3 linked regions of the Drosophila melanogaster genome follow. The protein of the gene in region 3 interacts with the protein of the main gene of each other region in a pairwise test. Each region holds a gene or a part of one and is shown on either strand. Other genes may lie near its edges.

Region 1 (7,676 bases), on a different chromosome or scaffold from region 3:
TTCTCGTGTTCCCTTTCGACTCATATTTTAAACGATGCTTTTGCTGTTGCATTTATTCCTTTCTTGGAAGTTTGTCAAATGTGTAGAGTGTAAATTACGCCTCGAAAAATCTTTAGATCAGCAGTGTGACCGGTGGCCAAGGCGGATGAGTGTGACCAGACCGCTAACAATGCTGTTTGGACTGCTGACATACGCATTTTTTAGGCGCCAGATTTGAATGCCAAATGATTTTCAACGTTTGCTTTAGAATTGATTTCTTTTGACCGGAATGCTTGATTTTTGAAAATATATAGAGATAAACTATCTGCACTTCTATTTTAGCGACAAAATAACCAATTTGCCAGTATGAAATGGAATTCTAAAGGTACATTTAAGCATGGAGAATTCTTAATTTTCATTTTGACCTCAGAACATTACTTACCCATTTCATTCGCCACAGATCACAAAACCAAGATCCATTGTTTCTGCCTCTCATTTAGCCTTCTATTTAAATTTAATTTCAAACTAAAAAAAATAGCTCATCGAATCAGAAAAGTCGTTGCAGTTTGAGTATGAGTTCGCTTTATGTTTGCATGTTTTGTTGGGTTTAATTTTGTTACGTACATGACTTCGTTTATTATACTGTTTCAGTCTTCCACTAACGTATAATTATTGGATAGCGCTGTGAAAGTAATAATATGCGGCCCATATTGCTTTACGTGTAAGTATTATTTAGAAAATACTATTTTAAGCTGGTTGGAAAGGTAAGTTTTTGATCAATCTCTTACAAATAGCGCATTTATGTGTCGAGAGATGTTGGTAGATTAGTCAATGAGTAATTGATGGATTGGTTACTTTAATTATATTATACATACATAAGTCGTGTACACTTTAGATTCAAATAAGTTGTATAAATTGTTACAGTGCAACTACAAGGAATGGCTGAAGCAGACTCCTTGGTGTTTATAAATGTTGTATATATATCGGCAAAATCGATCATTAATTTTTTTATGAACTGTTCAATGTGAGCGTCAATAGATTTATATAAATATTGTAATAAATAATTACGTAAAAATGTTATCATACTTTAATCGTTAATCCTAGATCCCACATGTTCGTTATATATGCTCGCCATGAATCGGGATTTTATCTTGTACACGCAATGGTTAAAAAATCTAAAAATTATAATTTAACGTCTCTAAGCAATTCAACGGATTGTGGGAGTCCATTCAATATCATTTAAAAAAGAATTCTACCGCAGCAGCTCAGTAAATTTATGAATATTCATTGCTTCGCATTTTATCCTTGTCCGTGTCCTGCAATCAAATTCGATTCCAATAATTAGTTAATTGTTAAATCTTTAGATGCAAATGAACCCACCTTAAAGCGCACGCCGATTTTAATTTGTTCAGTACTAAAGTCACGATCTCGGGTTTTTAACCTGGCCTTGTTCGTATTATTGTGTTTGTATTCATTTTTTCGGTTATTGGACCCGTAGTGGGACCCAAAGTCATTTTCTCTGTCAAAGTCCGGGCCATCGCGGTCCTTGAACTGATAGTCGCTGCTTGATTTATGAATGTCGAAGCCTCGACGATACTCGCTGTAATTGTTGTGTGATCCGCCACTGCCGGCGCCACCCCTATGACCTGGATTACGGAAACCAGCTCCTCCTCCAGAATTGAAGTGCTTTTGTGACATGCCGCCGCGTCCGTCGCGATCCCTGTCCTTGTCGTCCGCCTGGCGATTGAAGCTGCGGGCGAGTGGGGCAGGCGCGTGGTTGTTGCCATCGGGCCCATGCATTGGCGGACGCTTCGAGGACACCTCTTCCTCCTGCTTCTTTTCATAGTGGAAGAAGTCATCGAATATGGACGTTGAATGGTTGTACGAGTGCAAAATCTGCAGCACCTCGATGCCTTTGTCGTTGGGCACTTCCTGGGTGTCCCTTGAGTTCGTCACCGACTTATTCTCATTGTTCTCCAGTCGAATGTGACGCAGCGTTCCGTTAGGCACATCTTTGACATATATCCATTTCACCTTGAACTTGCCCCTCCACTTGTCCTGCGACCAGACGCTCGACGTTGAGTTGTAGTCGACCGGCGTCATCATTTGTGCCATGCCGCAGAAATGGCCAGATCCATTCACCGAGAAGAACAGCATTATGTTGCCGCCCTCTTCGTGTCGCTCCTTGAAGGCATCGTCCAATCTCTTATTGCCGTGATCGGTTGAGCACCAAATCTCATACTTTATACTGCGATGGATGTCATCTTCGGAGTACGATTTGATGACAAAGAATCTGAGAGGATAAAAGTAAGCATCAGTATACGAATACCGCCATTAAAATCAAATATAGCAAATTTACCTGGCCGATCCGGCTTTTTTCAAGTCCAACACTTTTGGGTTGTAATTGTTTTTGTCTTTTAATTCGTCCAACACGAGTTGGGAATCGACAGGCAGCTCTTCGGTTGCAGATGTGGCTTCCACCGGTCGTGATTGGTTCTCGTCGCGGTATTCGAACTTCGAAGCACTCTCAAACTCGCTGCCGCGGAAACTGGAATAGTTGCCCGAGCGCTCCGAGTTCCGGCTTGGATGCGGCCCGCCGTCGTGTCGTCTGGCGTTCGGTGGCCCAAATGGACCGGCATTGGTCGCTGGACGTGGGGCGGCATGGTGGACAGGCTGCTGGGGCCCTAGATTCCTGCGAACAGGTCCCGTGGGCGAAACCTTGGCTCTGCTGAAGTTATTGTTATTTCCCAAGCCCTTGTGCTCGTATTTCAGGAAGTTCTCCGTATCCTTGTGCACTTTCTCGGCTCGTGCGCCCAATGGCGGTGCCGTGTTGCTCGATATGGAGAAGTCAGAACTCAAGTCGGAATAGCCCAAATCGATCGGCGAGGGTGGAGATGGTACAGGAGGTGGTTTGTTATTCGGCAAATCCCATACGTTAACATCTAAATTGTGCTTTCCCGGAACCATGGGTGGTGGTGGCATGCCAGGACCCTTCTTCTTGCTGTTGGAAGTGGTGGACGCTGCCTGTGAACGTAGACAGGATATAAGTGGGTTTGCCCGCTGGCCCAATGAGTCAGATACTCACTCTCGATGTTAGTTTGGCTGGCTGGGAGGCAATCGAGGCCCAGGTTGTCTTCTTGGGAGCGGCGACAACTTCTTGATTTTGTGCTTCATCGCTTGTTCTGTTGTCCAGTTTTGTAGACGGCTGATCGTTTTCATTTCGAAACGACTTAGGGGTTTTACGGAAATAAACATTAGTTTAGGGATAAATTCTTTCCGAATATGGTTTCAATATAGATAAATAATAATATGTACCTGTGCTGCTGGCTTCCTGGAATTCCAAGGATTTACTTGGTGCTCGTCGCGTCGTGTGTTATTGGGAATACTATGACCATGTCTTCTATATGAATCTACAAATATCGTGAAAGACTACATGTTAGAACAATTTTCAAGAAAGTTTGATTGCTTAGACAAATATTACATTAATTATTTACATACGCCACACCTTCACGCTTTAAAGTTCATGATTTCTTAAAAGATCCAAAGAAACTTGCATTATCTGTGGGTGAAAATGCATTTAAACAAATTTAAGGAGGCACAGCAACTTGAATAACATTTCGTTTTTGTTTTACTTTCTGGCAAACAGATTTTACGAAAATTATCCAAATTTACTTTTGCAATGGAGGCGGATTTAGAAGTGCAGAGCGAACTTGAGAAGGACACCATCCCCATCAAAATTGGCATAATTGGAGAGGCCAATTTGGACAAGCCCATCTACTTGGCAGAGCGCATGGAGTATGCAGTATGCACGCCGTTTGGAAAACCATCCGATGTGATCATCGATGGCCAGATAGAAGGCGTCAATGTGTGCCTGCTATCACGAAATGGACGCAACCACGACATCATGCCCAGCAACATTAACTATAGGGCGAATGTGTGGGCCATGCGCAAGATGGGCTGCACCCACATCCTGGTGACCAACACGTTCAGTTCGCTGAGGGACACCTTCCAGCCGGGACACTTGGTGGTGCCAAATGATGTGATAGATTATACATCCAGACGTGCTCAGACCTTTTACGACGGTGCCGTGGGTAGTCCATTGGGCGTCTGTCACGTGCCCATGAATCCGACCTTTTGCGAACGCACCAGGCAGCACCTTCTGAGTGCCGCCGAAGAGCTGGGATTCCCCACGGGATCCAGCGGCACGGTGCTCACACTGGAAGGACCGCGTTACTCCACCGTTGCCGAAAACAATATGTTCCGCAAGTGGGGCGCCGATCTGCTGAGCATGACCCTGTGTCCCGAGGCCATTTTGGCCAAGGAGGCGGGCATTCCGTACGCCTCGCTGGGTCTGGTCACCAACATGGAGTGCTGGTGCGCCAAGCAGCCGAACGCAACCACTCACGAAATCATCTACATCTTTAAGAAGCAATCCGAAAACCTCCAGAAGGTCCTGATAACGGCTATTCGGAATATGGCTGCCGAGGATTGGGCCGAGGATATTCTAAAGGCAAAGGTAATGTTGATTGCAATGTAACTTACATAAAATTGATTCTAAAATCAATTTTTCTTAGATTCTGGTGTGCAGCAACTTTGCTAATAGTAAATGATGGTCGGTCTTGTGAAAGGTATTGTTTTAAAATTATGCAAATAAATAATATTAGCGTCCGTTTTGAATTGTTCTATGCGTTGGCGCAAAGCTACTTATCTTGATCTCTAAGCGATCATAAGCTGCAATGAGCCAAGTGAATCCAATCGGAAGCTAATCGGACTAATCCCGACTTCCCGGTGCACCGACTTATGCATATTCGCAGAGTCGAAAAACCAGTTAGTGAGAACGATTACGCGCCGAGTGCAAGTCAAGTGCTGGGTGGAAAAAAAAAACAAAAACTGCTATACATACCATGGTTGGCGTTCGCCTTTCGGCCCTTGTTCATATTGTTCCATGGAGTGTTGCAATTCTCCTTGAAGTTGAACGGCGGATATTGGAATTGCATGGAGTTGTCATTGCCTGGGTGGGTGTAGGCGGTAGGTGCGGGGTGGAGGGTTAGGAATAGACATGGGTTAGATGGCTTTTGGAAACCCATATATTTCTTATAGTCGAAGAACTCACCAGAGACTTCATCGTGAGTGGGAGAGGATAGATTTTCGTACGAGGCCTCATCGACTTGCTGACTCCATGGTATGTTGCGCTCCTCGACCGATTTAGCTGCATTGTGGGGCATGGTAAACAGAGAAAATCGCATTAAAACCGCACATTAAGCAAGAAATACGATCGAAAACTCGGCCGTCGAGTAGTTCCTGTCTATGGGAAAACGCTCTGTCTGTGGTGGTAGGTTATATACCTGTGTTTCCTGGTATTTTCATCTGAAACGGAAACGCAACGCAGGTTAATACACTTATCGTATCGTATTGGCTTGTCAGCCACTGTATATCCGAACATTAATCGCTGCTTAACAATGGAAAATCTTCCTGCGAAATCCCGACATAAATCGAATCGAGCATATGTACATATGTGTGTATGCAAAATACAATTACCTGATCCACGCCTGACATTTGCTGCACTTTTTGCCTGCAAATAGGAAATGGCTTAGTATGGCGGCGCCGATTCGGTTGACTGGCCGTAGCTATATTACCCCTTTTTAAAATAAATGATATAAAAACACAAGGCAGGCAGAGTTTGTTGCTTAAAAGTTTTTATAAACTCCGATATATTTTTTTTACTTAAAGAACCACATACACTGACACCACACGCACATTAACCAATACACTGACGGGATTCTTAACGCTTCCGAAGCCGTCACTTTTCACGCGAACGGCGTTGCGCAGACAAAGCGATATTATCAACACTAATTTAACGGCTGTGTGATTAAAATGCAAGCTAGTGTCATATTAAGCATTGAGGTGATTGGAATTTGAATTAAGATTGTATTTTACTAAAATAAATAAGAGTTTAAATTTTTGAGAGACATAGTTAAGTTGCGGTTATATTTAGTATTTAGTACCGATTGCGCCAAACCAGTGCTGCCAAAATTCTAGACACATCGATATCATCGCCAAAACATCGGTCTTGTGCCAGCTCTATAAAATAGCCACCTCATCTTTGTCAGCCGTAGATTTTGTTAGATTTAAATTGTTAGCTATGGCGAGGGCGGCTTTTATTGTGTGCCTACTGATGGCCTGTGCCTGGAGCAGCCATGCGGTGATGTTCAAGCTGTCGCCGAACACCCAGAAGTGCCTCAAGGAAGACATCCAGGCGAACCAACTGGTTATGGGCGAGTTCGAAGTTTCCGACGTACCCGGCCAGATCATCGACTACATTGTGAGTTTTCCGCTCGGTACACGTACTTAACTTACTCCACGCACTTAACGAACTCAATTTGCGTCCAACAGGCACGCGACACCAAGGGACACATCCTGTCGCAGAAGGAGCACATCACTAAGGGCAAGTTCAGCTTCATGTCCGAGGTGTACGATACGTACGAAATCTGCTTTATATCCAAAGTTCCTGCACGTAAGTTATAGTTTGCAATAAACTCCCATAGCGTATATATATAAACGTTTCGATTTCTGTGCAGATCAACGCGGCGTTATACAGGAAGTATCGCTCTTGACCAAAAAGGGAGTGGAGACCAAGAGCTACGAAGGCGTAAGTACACTTATGTCCTTTTTGCATGTTTTACACTTGACTTGCAATCCTTTAATCATATGCAGATTGGCGAAGCATCCAAACTGAAGCCCCTTGAAGTTGATCTTAAGCGTTTGGAGGATCTCTCCGACTCCATTGTGCGTGATTTCGTTCTCATGCGCAAGCGGGAGGAGGAAATGCGCGATACCAATGGTATGTGAAATACCAAAAATTCCCTAGAATCACGTCTAATTATTGTTCGCATTCTGCCTACAGAGAAAACCAACAGCCGCGTGCTGTTCTTCAGCATCTTCAGCATGTGCTGCCTGCTCGGCTTGGCGACGTGGCAAGTTCTGTACCTCCGCAGGTACTTCAAAGCCAAAAAACTCATCGAATAGTCGTCTAGCCGTAGTCTTAATGCGTGCGTGGAACTGTGTTTAAATGCCTGGTTTAGATTTCATCCTTTCATCTTTTGAACGTTTTTCTGAAATAAATGCAACTACCACGTATGTATATTTTATTACTGCGACTGCTCTCCACATTTCTTGGCGGTGTGACAAATAAATAGCTCGTATTGGACGCGTTTAACATAACAGGTACATAACACAAAACCACACGGTACAAGTTATTGGCTCAGCTGGCATAAGTTAAAAATTGCGATTCCCTTAGACGGTTGTTTCCTTCAGCAACATTGCACTCTCTGTATCCAGTCCGTCGCTTTTGGCGGCCAAAGCGCCTGCCTCGTCGGTGTCTTCCTTGCACGGACTTGTGGTTCCCTTCTTCATCAAGATATAGCGCGACTTGGCCGCGGAGCTGTTCGATGCACTCGAATCGTCCACCACGGACTGCTCCATCCACAGGCTTTCGTCGTTCAGCGCCTGGTTCACCAGGTTCGCCAAGCTCTCCGGTAGCTTCGATATAGCTGTGGGATCCGCAGGACCTAGAAAAGCATAAATATAAGATTATAGGACTTGAAGAGATCTCATAAACGATGCTGCGAGCTGGACTCTTGATCCACAAACATTTTTTTTCGGTCCGCTGGCAACTTTGATTAGTGATAGAAAACTGA
Region 2 (3,352 bases), on a different chromosome or scaffold from region 3:
AGAGCACGCTTACAACGCTTCCAGCGACGGAACTACCTCTTCAGATGCACTGAGAGAAAATTTAGCTTGACTAGCTTAAAATAAATAACATTAAGTGCATGTACCTTTCATGTATGAATGAATTTCATTAATTAACATTTAAAATATGTAGCAACCCATATCAGAATGCAAGTACTCGCTGATTACTTATTTCAAATTGATTCAAAATCTGCTCAGAATTTTTATGAATTTATGACTGTTTTTCTGTGTGCTAAGCTTTTGTGCCCCAGGTTCCGTCGGAAGTTTGGTCATACCTTTAACACCGTAACAATGAAAACCCAAGTGACGACGTTGATGAAAAACGGCTCAGTAGGGCCCCATATAGGCATAATAGTTCCGAAACAAAGTTGGCGATGTTGACGCTGCTCCTCTGTCAACTTCGGCGCACTATTGTGGCGCTAATCATTCATATAAACATGGCTGCGGAGAGCGCTACAGATACAGATACATTTACCGATACAAAGAATGCCGTGGGGCTAGCGGTGTTATATCGATTTAAATGATAATAATTGGCCTCTAGAGCGCCATGGACAGTATCGATCTGTTTTAGAATTTTGACTATAAATAAACCGACGTGGATGCAAACGCTCAATCATTTGTGGTTTAAGAGCTCAAGGTGTTAGACATATCATAAAGGAGATGGTGAGTGTGGTCAGTTGTAGATATGAGAAGCAATCTGAACTTCACGATTTCTTTCCTATTTCAGAAGCTATTCATTTTGGCTACCTGTCTGCTGGCTTTTGCAGCCGGTGATGTTTCGCATTTGCCGCTGGAACTCCTGGAGGAGCATCATGAGCATGGCTATGGCTATGACTACCCCAAGCCGGAGATACCATTTGTGATTACCTCGACGACGGAGCCACCACCGCCACCACCGACTTATCTGCCACCCAAACCAGTACCCACTTACCTACCTCCTCCTCCGCCCACAACCACAACTACCACCACAACCACTCCGGCTCCTACTCCCGCTCCTACCTACCTTCCTCCCCCTCCACCTACTACCACTACCACGACAACCACTCCCGCTCCCACTCCTGCTCCCACTTACCTTCCTCCCCCACCTCCACCACCGCGTACCACTACCACCACCACCACTACAACCACAACGACACCTGCACCCACGCCAGTGCCCACGTACCTTCCACCCCCACCACCACAACCGGAACCGGGTTACCACTACGATGTGCCCGCCCAAGAGTTCACCTTCTGAGCAAAATCGCGATCGAACTGAACATGGAAGATTTCCCCGGATTAGTTTTGTTTTAAATCGTTCCACTAGGCTTAGGTTTATATAAGGTTAAAGCCATCTCAATAAACGCTGTTTTGTTAACCCCATTAGCATCGGTATCTCCCAAATATTTATTGGGATGGGACAAAAGTGGTACAGATGGCCGAGTCAATCACCGTCAATTGTCTGGGATTTCGTCGCATCCGCTGCATATTCATGAGCTGCTTTGTTGTGCAGAGCTAATTTGGTCGAAATCGCATTAATTGTTTTGGGGTAGAGGGAGATAACACACGCCGATAATTGGCCGACCTCAAGTTCATGAAAACCAAGAAAAGTGTGAAGAAAACCAAATAGCCAGCCGGTCGAGGAAGGCGCGATCTTTGTATAAAAGCGGTGACCATCGACGTTATTGACATTACTACCTGCTGTCATCAAACGGCAGCAACATCATCTCGATCGGTGGATTATCTCTTAAAGGAAATGGTAAACAGTAGCGGCATATTCTCTAATAAAGATGACCTAACAGGAGGTTGGTTATTTTACAGAAACCCATGCTGATCCTTTTGGCTCTGGCAGGCTTTGCCATCTGTATTCGGGCAGACGTGTCCCACCTGTACGGAGGAGGTTACCACGATCACGGCCATGATCACCATCACCACCATGATCACGATCACGATCATGATCACCACCACTATGATGTCCATTCCCACCACCATTCTCCCTCGTCACACGATCATCATGATCTGCACATTGATCTGCACTATCAGCCGGATCACCACCATCATCATCATCAAGAGGCCAAGTTCGATATCCCTAGCGGATATAGCTATGGACCTCCAGAGAAACCTCGCCAGAAGTACCTGCCGCCCAAGGTTTCCCTGCCACCGCCACCACCTCCACCGCCCAAGGCAACTTATCTGCCTCCCTCAAAGCCTGAAGTGAAGTACCTGCCCCCCGAACCGGTGGCCAAGTATCTGCCACCCAAGGTCGCTCCCAGCCTGCCTCCTCCACCACCACCTCCAGTTGTGGCGCCCAAGCCCACATATCTGCCTCCCAGTCCGCCAGAGTCCAAGTACCTTCCTCCTCCGACGCCCGAGGTGAAGTATCTGCCACCTGCTCCAGTGGCAAGGTATCTGCCACCCAAGGTTGCACCCAGTCTGCCACCACCACCTCCACCCCCACCAGTGGCTCCCAAGAAGCTGTATCTTCCTCCTGCCGAGCCGGAGACTAAGTACCTGCCACCTTCCGAGCCCGTCGAGAAGTATCTGCCTCCTAAGCCCGAACAAAAATATCTGCCACCCCAGCCTGAGGTAGATTTCCACATACCGATTCCATCCTATGCACTGCCCTTGGGCCCTGCACCAAGTCCAATCCACGACGCCGAGCCTGGTTACCACTACAAGCCTCCACTTCGCCGTTTCAGGCATTAGGATAATCAACCACCGAAAAAAAACCAAACCACAAGCACTGCATCTAGTTTTAAGCTGTACACATTAAAAGCATTTTTAACAAAAAATAAAATGGAGTATTACACCACTCGCACTCTTTCCCCATCCTCAAGGTCAAAGATATCAAACCCAAATTGCTGTCACCCAGCCCCCAAGGGATCCATGTGGATTTCAATCTGACCTCCAAATCTAATTGCGGCCAATCAACCGAAATAGCCAAACGGCTTCGGTTTTAGCTTTAGTTCAGCTCGATCATCACCTGCAGTGTCGATAATTACTGTCTTTTTGGATGAAAAATGATGTGAGTTTTGGTTTGAATATATTTATAGGGATTGATCGGTGTCGGTTACAGAAAGGTTCAAACCGAACCAAAATCGCTAATCGCCAATTGCAGCCATCGGCAATGGGACGACAGTTGACCTCTTTCAATGTTGCCCAGAGATGGGGCAAGTCTTTTAAAGGTGCCATGAAAAGATTAGACAGAAATAAATAATTAAGCCCCTAACGAATTGAGTATGCTCTTTTGAAAAGGGTTAAAGTTTAAATGTTTAAACATTAGGTTACTTTAATAGCACACTTGATTTGTCTTTCATTTTGTCTTTAAGCATTTTAATTAAAACCTGATAGTGATGTA
Region 3 (7,829 bases):
ACTAAATAACATAACAAATACAATAGAGTTGCCTTAAAATTAAAATTTAAAATTATGGATCTTTTCGTTGGATCCGCTGGGAATTTTGTGTTGTTATTTTTTCTTGATAAATAGTGAGAGATATATAGAGAAAATGTGGCTGGTTTGCTGGAGGTTAAAACCCTATAGTTCAGAAAGAAAAGGTATTAACAAGTATTACAAAAAAAAATAAAACTGGTACTGCAATAATTTGTTTTAATATAATTCGGAATTCTGTATACCTTCAAAATGCAAGTGCCACAGTGTGTTCGTGTCTTTTAGTGAGTGAGAAATGCAAATGGTTGTCCTAACTTTCAATGCTCTTGCATAGTTAATTATTTTCAATTTCCAGCCTCCTTAGCCTCCAATTAATAAGTATTTGAGCTTTAACAATTGTCAATGATTTCCTGTTCGGCTTAGTTCTCCATCTCATAGATTATATAAACAAATTTAACATTATATGCTCGTTACATTCGAATCGATTTGGATTTTGCTAGCTGCAAATACTGCGATCATACATCGTTAATATATCAATTGTTTACTTGTAGATTGCAATTAACGTTTCATTCGCATTCGCCATGAATGTATATTTTCATTATAGGTGTATAATTAGGCTATAAATATTATATTCCTCGAAAGATTTCATTCTTTCTTATGCTTCCATCTTCTTTTGTTTTGTCAAAATTTTGAATTCCAAACAAATGGGCAATTGGAACTATAAAAATTTAAAAGTGAGGCTAATCTCTGACTCTGCTTCTGGCTAAAATTGTCCCTGGCTAAATTCTAAATTAGTGAAATCATCCTAAACAGGGGATAATTTAGTGTTAGACTATATGGGCTATAGGCTATAGCTTCATTTCTTTCGCCTAGATCGCTAGATTGGGTTATCATCTCTATGAGGTTGCATCTACTCCACATGCAACTAGTACATTTGTCCTGCTTACAGACTATGTTCATAAGATATATGTAGAGTCGCGTGTGTGCTCCCTTTCGATCCGGCATGGATCGAAATGCATTCTTTTCAATATTTGACTTTTTTTTTTGACGAGGGCTATCCTAGACCGAAACGCTAAAACAAACGCATAACAAATGCACTGATCAAACTTGAAATTATTTGAGATTTTAAGGTTTGGCTCGCTTTCAACGGCTCGCCTCACTAGCAACGCTTTACAATTTTGGTTTCCCTCCGTGTTTTTTGTTCTTTTTTTTTTTGGTTTGGGCTTTTGTTGTTGTTTTGGTATACGTATCCAATAATCCTTAGGCCTTGAACAGCTGCGGAAATTCGTTCGCTATTTCCCGCACCAGCTGCTGATCGGAGGCACTGCACTCGGTCTCCTCGCAGAAGATGCGCGTGAAGATCTTCATGAGATCATGCTTGCGATGCTGGTGCTCCTGATAGTTCGTATTGCGCAGGATGCGTCGGCAAAGCTCCAAGTAGCATGGTCGCGTCTGAAACCAAATTAAAGTGTACTTAGTAGGGAGCACTATAGTTGCATTGACTTTTGGCGGACTCACCGTACTGCCGGCATCCAAATCGGATAGCTGGCGAACCACTATATCGATAAGCACCTTGATGTCATTCGTGTAGAACATGCCCGCCGTATCCGGATGGCTGAATATGTCGATAAACATTCGCAGCACCGTGTTCATATGCTCGTTGGGATGCTTGAGCAAGCGTGTGGGATCATCTGGTTAGAATTCAAGAAGAAATCGATCCAATTTACATGCTTATGTTTTGTAGTTAATTAAAAAGTATGCTTAAAATTGAAAACTTACCCTCTCGATTGAGCAAAAGTAGCAACTTCTCCGTAAACACTTTGGCGGATGGCAGATTCTGCATACCTTCGATGATGACATTATAGGTATGTTCGCTAAATTGCTGATTGAAGGCCAAGATCAAGGCAATGACCATGTCCACCAAGACCTCCGGATTATTGCCCTCGACGATTTCCAGTAGGAAGCTGGCAAAATGTACGCCCAAATAATCTATAATAGACATCAAAGTATAAGCATGCAACTATTGGTTAATAAGTTAAGATAGCTTTTACCCTGATGATTAACCGGCATGGGCTGTCCAAGTGAGAAGATAATAGTGAGCATCTTGACCAGCTGCTTGAAGCGATCCAGATTGGAGAAGTGCGTCTTCATGTCCTCGACCTGAAAGTTAAGTATGTTAAGTTCTAAACTTAGAAAACCATTAGGTGGCACAATCTGAGCTCCTGCTTACAATCTCCAATGGCAGCACCGAGGTCAGCAATATGTCCACAATGATATAGTCCAGATGGCAAGCGGCCGTAAAGGTCTTAAGCAGCAGTCGCTTGATGGACCAGCGCGTCTCCATCTGATAGTACTGCACCAGATTGATAAACATCTGGTACTGATCGCAGGACATCTCGTAGCAACTGATGCTCTCATCAGCATTGATCTGTAAGGAGTGATATAAGTTTAAGATTTAAAGTTACAAAAAAAAAACTAGTTCCTACCAAAATCTCAACAAGCTCCTCAAGGAACTGAATGATGTCCTCCTCATCCTCGTAGAGCATCCAAGTGCGTTGCTCCGTATCGTTCTTGCAGTCCGCCAGCTGGGCAAAGAGATACTGCAAGCGCTTGGCGTCGTGCGTAATGCCCAGCAGCTCCTTGGGCGTGGCCACTTTGCCAGTGACATGAACGGCCACCGCCTCCAGGTACGGATTGATGGCACCGTTGTACAGCTGCTCCAGGCTGGTCAGCACCACGCGCAATGCTTCACAGGAGAGATCGAAGCTGAGGTTGGTGTTCCGCCGCAGGGCGTCCACAATCTGATATACATCCGATGACTCAACCTTCAACTGGCCTCCTCCTGTGGCACCCTCCTCGATTCTGCCCAGGCTCAGGCCGCGCTGTCGATGCGACGGACTGTCGATGCTGTCCAGCGCCTGGCTATTATCCGCACTATCTCCGTTGGCCGGGCAACCGTCGTCACTTTGCACGGCGCTGGCATCATCCGACTTGTCCGGCGCACTGTCCGCTTCCTCCTGCTGCAGCTCCTGATGCAGGGCTGTGGCACTACCGTTGGCCTTGCCGTTGCCGCCGTTGCTGCGCAAAGCTGAGGCCGAGGCAGATGCGGAAATGGACGCCGAGGCAGTGCTCCCATTTTGCGGCTTATGCTGCTGGCTGGTGCTCATTTGGCTGGTCTCCTTGTATGTGGTGACCACATCTTCGCTGGTCGTCGTAGTGGTCGTTGTCGTCTCCGAGGGCTCCGACGTAATGCTATTGTCCTGCGCGACATCACCGCCGGTGGCCGCTTTGCTCGTTGATGCCGCAGTGGGTGTGGCCGATGCTGCCGATGGCGAGGGAGCTGGTGCTGGCGGTGCTGGGAGCGGCTGTTGCTGCTGCGGCGTCTGGATGGTGCAGCTGCTGCCCTGGAACTGCATGCTGCCCATGCTGGGCGATTCGATCATGCCCTGATTCTGGGGCAGGCCGCACGATGAGCCCACCGCTGGACTTGACATGCTCTTCTTGCTCATGTCCAAACGCTGGGAGCCAACGCTGCCGCCGCTGGGCGGCGGACTGTGCTGCCTGTGCTGGGAATGAAGCTGCGTCTGGGATTGGGTGGGATGGGGATGCGAGTGCCGGTGGCTACCCTTGTCACTGTAGCTGTGTGAATAGGAAAGCGAGGAGTCACCGTCGCGCTCGGAACTCTCCTGCAAGATAGGAGGGGAGATAGGTCATCAATAACATTCATTTGGCCATACGAGTAGTTAGAATCTACCCACCGCATACAGACGCTCCATGGTGTGCTTCTTCTCGCGCAGCCTGTCCAGCAGTTCGTCCTTGGACATGATGCCATTGATCTCATGGTCCGTGCACTTCTCCAGCGATTCTATCGAGGAGTTCAGAAAGCTGATGAGAAAGTCGTGCTCCACCTGTCAAAATTTGCATATGTTTAGTAATCCTTTTAGCCACTAGTGAGCGATGTACTCCACCTTAATCTTCATTACGTAATTGGAGGGCACAAAGCCAATGTTGCCTTTCATGCTGACAACCTGCCACCAATTGCGCTGGCGGGCGGACGTCTGGTAAAGGATGAAGTACTCGCCCTCATCGAAGCTGATGGTCTTCGGATAGACCGCCTGGAAGTCGTACAGAGCCTTGAGCATCTCGATGCCGATGCCTAAACCGATGTCGTTGCCACCTCCTCCACTGGGAACACTTGCTCCTCCACCAGGGCCACCTCCTGCCGCTGCCTCTGCTAAAATAAAAAGAATTAAATCGAAACGGATTGATTTTAAGTGATTTTCAAAGCTGGAAAATTTGAAAAACTTTAAGGGCGTCGACACTCACACAAGCACACGGGGAAAAACTGCAGCAGGCGCTAAAAAAAAAAGTTAAGTTCACTGCCGAGGGCCAAACTGCGGACTGACGGCACTGGCTACACTCTTATTGATGCTCCAAAATGTTTTTTCGTGCCACTAAACTGGACTGCAGCGAACTGCTGAGTTCCGCAGGATTCGCACGGAGCCGTCAAAGAGGATACTCCTCGTGCTGGTGGAATTTTTAATGGAGCACCCCCACACAGGAAGAGGAAAATGCAATTTTCATATTTCACTTGCGCTCGCTCACTCGCTCGCTCTTCCTGCCTTTCCCGTTTCTGCTTTGTGCGCTGCTTTTAGGTCCTGCAACAACGCCTTGCGCTTTTGATCCTTTTCAGCTTACATTGTTTTCCCCACAAACACAAACACGCCAGAGAGAGCCACGTGGCTTCTGCGCTCTCTACGCTCCACGCTACACTGAAAAAAGCACAAAGTGCATTCAATTTATACACTATTTTGAACAGTTTAGAGAGAAAGGTACGTGTTCAAGTCCAACTTCTGTCCTAAGAACTTTTACATATATTTAAAAACAAATTTAGATTTTTTTTAAATTTAAATTTTCTTTGGGTGCCTATTTTATTGCTTTGTGTGAAAATCTCAACACGAGCAAATCCGTTTCAAAACACAGCGCCCCCTCCACTGCCCCGCCCACTCGTGCTTTCTCTCTCCACGCGCGCGCATTTCCCTCTCTCTCTCTCTCTCTATCTTTCTCTCACACTTTTTTCTCGCAGGATATCCGTGCAAGAGTGAACCGGTTCATAAATAAGCCAGTGAATAGCGGTACAAATAACAGTAATATTTGTGGCCCACATTTGTGGTTTTAATATAATGCATGCATTAAATCTTCACAAATATCTTTATGTATATTAATTTTTAATAAAGCTACAATACTAATGGACGTTTTCAAAGTTAGGCTTTTCGCACTTTTTCAAATATTTTGCGGTTAATAAAACCTAAAATGAACTAGATCATTTGCTTTAAGTACTTCAAAATCAACTACTTTTCAAAATTTACTATAAACAAGTGTTGTGTAGTTACAAATTACAAAGGATAGTAATAGATGTACAGGACTGTTCTAAAGAAAACCTTGTATTTCCTATAGGACTGCCCCAAAAGAAATCTTATTGGACATCCAATAGGACCGAAGGCCCCTCTGTCGCCGATGATTCACCTGGTGAATGCTCTCGAATGCAAAGTGATTTTCGGAACTGCAGGGCTGCTGTACTCACTCACGCACACAAGGACACGCGGTGAATGGGTGTAATGTATGGAAATGCGACAATGGGCACAACACAAAAAGGATGCAATGAGAATGTGCCCCGCTCACTTACCCATGTTGTTGGGCGCACCTTTTACCGTAATTGCGTTTGTCGGTTGCTGTTGTTGTAGTCGCTATTGCTGCTGTTGTCTTCTTCCTGTTGTTTCCTGTCTCAGACGTCAGCTATCCTTCGTCCTGCGCCCTCCCGCACATCCGCTGTTGGCGTCCAGGAGCCAAGGACGTTTGCATATGTGTGTGTGTGTGTGTGGATGTGTGTGCTTTATGTTGCCTTCCGACGATGGGCGTGTTTGCTGCTCCTCTCTTTTGTGCTTTCGATGTCCTTTTGAAGGCGACACAGCTAGTTCCGCTGCTCCATCACTTGTTGTTGTTCCCTTTGGCCGCAGCACGCGAATGAGAAGCTCACTTGATTAATTCCAATGATGCGAGATGCGAAATGCAATGGGCGATGCGAGAAGGGTGATGCTGCTCCTCTCCTGGCAAAATGCGATGCACTTGTTTTATGTCTCTTTTGCTCTCCTGTCTATTTGTCTGTCGCCGGGGAGGGGCGATGGTCGGAAAGGGAATTCTTGTGGGGGGCGGTGATCACTCGATAAGGCGAAACTTTAGCAACAAGAAGTGTTGCAATTGTATTAACATTTTCTTGAATGTTAACAGTTTAAAAACCGCACTCACTCTTTGGCAATTGTTTAGTTTTCAAAATTTATTTAAATAAATACTTGTTATGCGCTTTAAAGAGAGAGCACTGTATCTAAAAAGTATGAGCGACAAATTGTTGTTGCACAGATATACATATGTGTTTACAACAACAACAATAACAAACTATTCCACACCCAAAAAAAAGCCGCAAGCTAACACACACGCGCACAAGGGTTAACGGCGTTTAGAGTTTGTTTATATATTGTTTTAAACAAGCCACGAATAACACTAACCAAAATTTGAGCACATCCAAGTGGCGTTAACTAAGTTTTCACCATTTTACCAAACAAAGACAGCGGGATCAACAAACAAAAATTATCCAATCACTTGTTTTTATTTCCTATTTGCTCTTCTCCTTTTAATGTAGAGGTGGGGCATGCCGGCCTGTTATCGTTATCGATATCAGATATATGTGGGCTGCCAACTTGGCGCTAGAATTTAAATGTTGAAAAAAAGCTCGATCTCTTTCGGTTTTCAGGAAAACGTTTCTTTATTTGCATATAATATTTAACTCGTTTGTGGGGGACAGTACGTGTAGTGATTTATATAAAAATACTGATTTTAAGGGCAAGCTAATTCTTGGGATGCGTTATAAAAATGTTTATTTAAATGCTAGCAAGTTTTTTTTTCTGGTTAAACGTTTTGCCTGTGGCACACATATGTAGTATATATATTGTTTTTATTTTTTCATTTTGATTAGTTATAACCGCAATTTGCTATTTTAGACTACAATTCACAGGGGAAACCCCTTTGTAATAACGTTCACTAGGCGTAAATAGTTTATAAGTACAGTTTTTGTTTGATTCAGAAGGCATCATATAAAAAGTTCCTAAGTCCTGGACGACCCAATTCGATTAAGTTTAAAGATTCAACAATATTTTCCGTTTATTTGCTTGCTTGTGGTCACAATAAATCATAATCGTATCATAATGGGGAAACAATCACATACACAATAAATTATAATAGCACAGTGTTGTTTTTTTCGTTATATGTGTACTTATCATATCTAGTTTAATAACAGCAGGCCACTTTTAAACAAATGTGTATTTGCGTGTGTATGTGTGTGTGTGTGTGTAAATATATCTATTAAAAAAAATAAACAACTTTTCATTGTACTTGCATTTATAAGAATAGGAATAGTATAATAAATATATATGATATAAACGAAAACAAACAGAAATACACTTTTAACCTTGCCTCGTTTTGAACTATATGTATTCATATTTTTGTAGGTCTCGTGGAACGGCACTTAGTTGAGATTTATGTTGCCGTTGTAGTTCTTGACGCTGGTATATAGTTGGTTTAGCATTTAGCTCTCTATATAACTATGGCAAATCGGCTGCGATCGACGGTTCGAGGAACTCGAAGTTCCATCGAAACGATGACGAGAGCATGGTGACTTCCTGGAGGATATCGTGGCTGGCGGAGGATCCTACGGCACGTGGATCCTCATGTGCCCCATAACCATTCCTTAATCCATCCTC

What was found. Proteins that work in one complex are often made in the same cells at the same time.
Region 1: the proteins of CG2258 (region 3) and Ythdf interact in a two-hybrid assay, tested with the Drosophila melanogaster proteins (one large-scale study listed by BioGRID).
Region 2: the proteins of CG2258 (region 3) and CG15022 interact in a two-hybrid assay, tested with the Drosophila melanogaster proteins (one large-scale study listed by BioGRID).

The regions. Positions count from the first base shown.
Region 1 is NT_033777.3:25,033,329-25,041,004, forward strand, and holds Ythdf (YTH N6-methyladenosine RNA binding protein), read right to left. Parts: upstream 5,756-7,676; 5' UTR 5,616-5,755; intron 5,552-5,615; 5' UTR 5,536-5,551; coding exon 5,518-5,535; intron 5,441-5,517; exon of another isoform or gene 5,347-5,440; coding exon 5,325-5,346; exon of another isoform or gene 5,226-5,324; coding exon of another isoform or gene 5,189-5,225; coding exon 5,093-5,188; intron 4,991-5,092; coding exon 4,883-4,990; intron 4,655-4,882; exon of another isoform or gene 4,590-4,654; coding exon of another isoform or gene 4,554-4,589; intron 4,496-4,553; coding exon of another isoform or gene 3,659-4,495; exon of another isoform or gene 3,616-3,658; intron 3,390-3,615; coding exon 3,295-3,389; intron 3,209-3,294; coding exon 3,065-3,208; intron 3,004-3,064; coding exon 2,339-3,003; intron 2,273-2,338; coding exon 1,360-2,272; intron 1,296-1,359; coding exon 1,254-1,295; 3' UTR 548-1,253; downstream 1-547. Other genes in the region: Smg6, read right to left, coding at 1-24; CG31115 (uncharacterized protein), read left to right, coding at 3,659-4,495, 4,554-4,589; bai (baiser), read left to right, coding at 6,122-6,301, 6,373-6,493, 6,558-6,628, 6,694-6,820, 6,884-7,005.
Region 2 is NT_037436.4:4,458,646-4,461,997, reverse strand, and holds CG15022 (uncharacterized protein), read left to right. Parts: upstream 1-1,680; 5' UTR 1,681-1,750; coding exon 1,751-1,753; intron 1,754-1,815; coding exon 1,816-2,700; 3' UTR 2,701-2,805; downstream 2,806-3,352. Other genes in the region: CG15023 (uncharacterized protein), read left to right, coding at 679-681, 746-1,252.
Region 3 is NC_004354.4:8,095,368-8,103,196, forward strand, and holds the start of CG2258 (uncharacterized protein), read right to left. Parts: upstream 6,088-7,829; 5' UTR 5,702-6,087; intron 4,705-5,701; exon of another isoform or gene 4,342-4,704; intron 4,250-4,341; 5' UTR 4,158-4,249; coding exon 3,984-4,157; intron 3,924-3,983; coding exon 3,774-3,923; intron 3,702-3,773; coding exon 2,502-3,701; intron 2,444-2,501; coding exon 2,246-2,443; intron 2,176-2,245; coding exon 2,067-2,175; intron 2,005-2,066; coding exon 1,795-2,004; intron 1,707-1,794; coding exon 1,534-1,706; intron 1,468-1,533; coding exon 1,276-1,467; 3' UTR 1-1,275.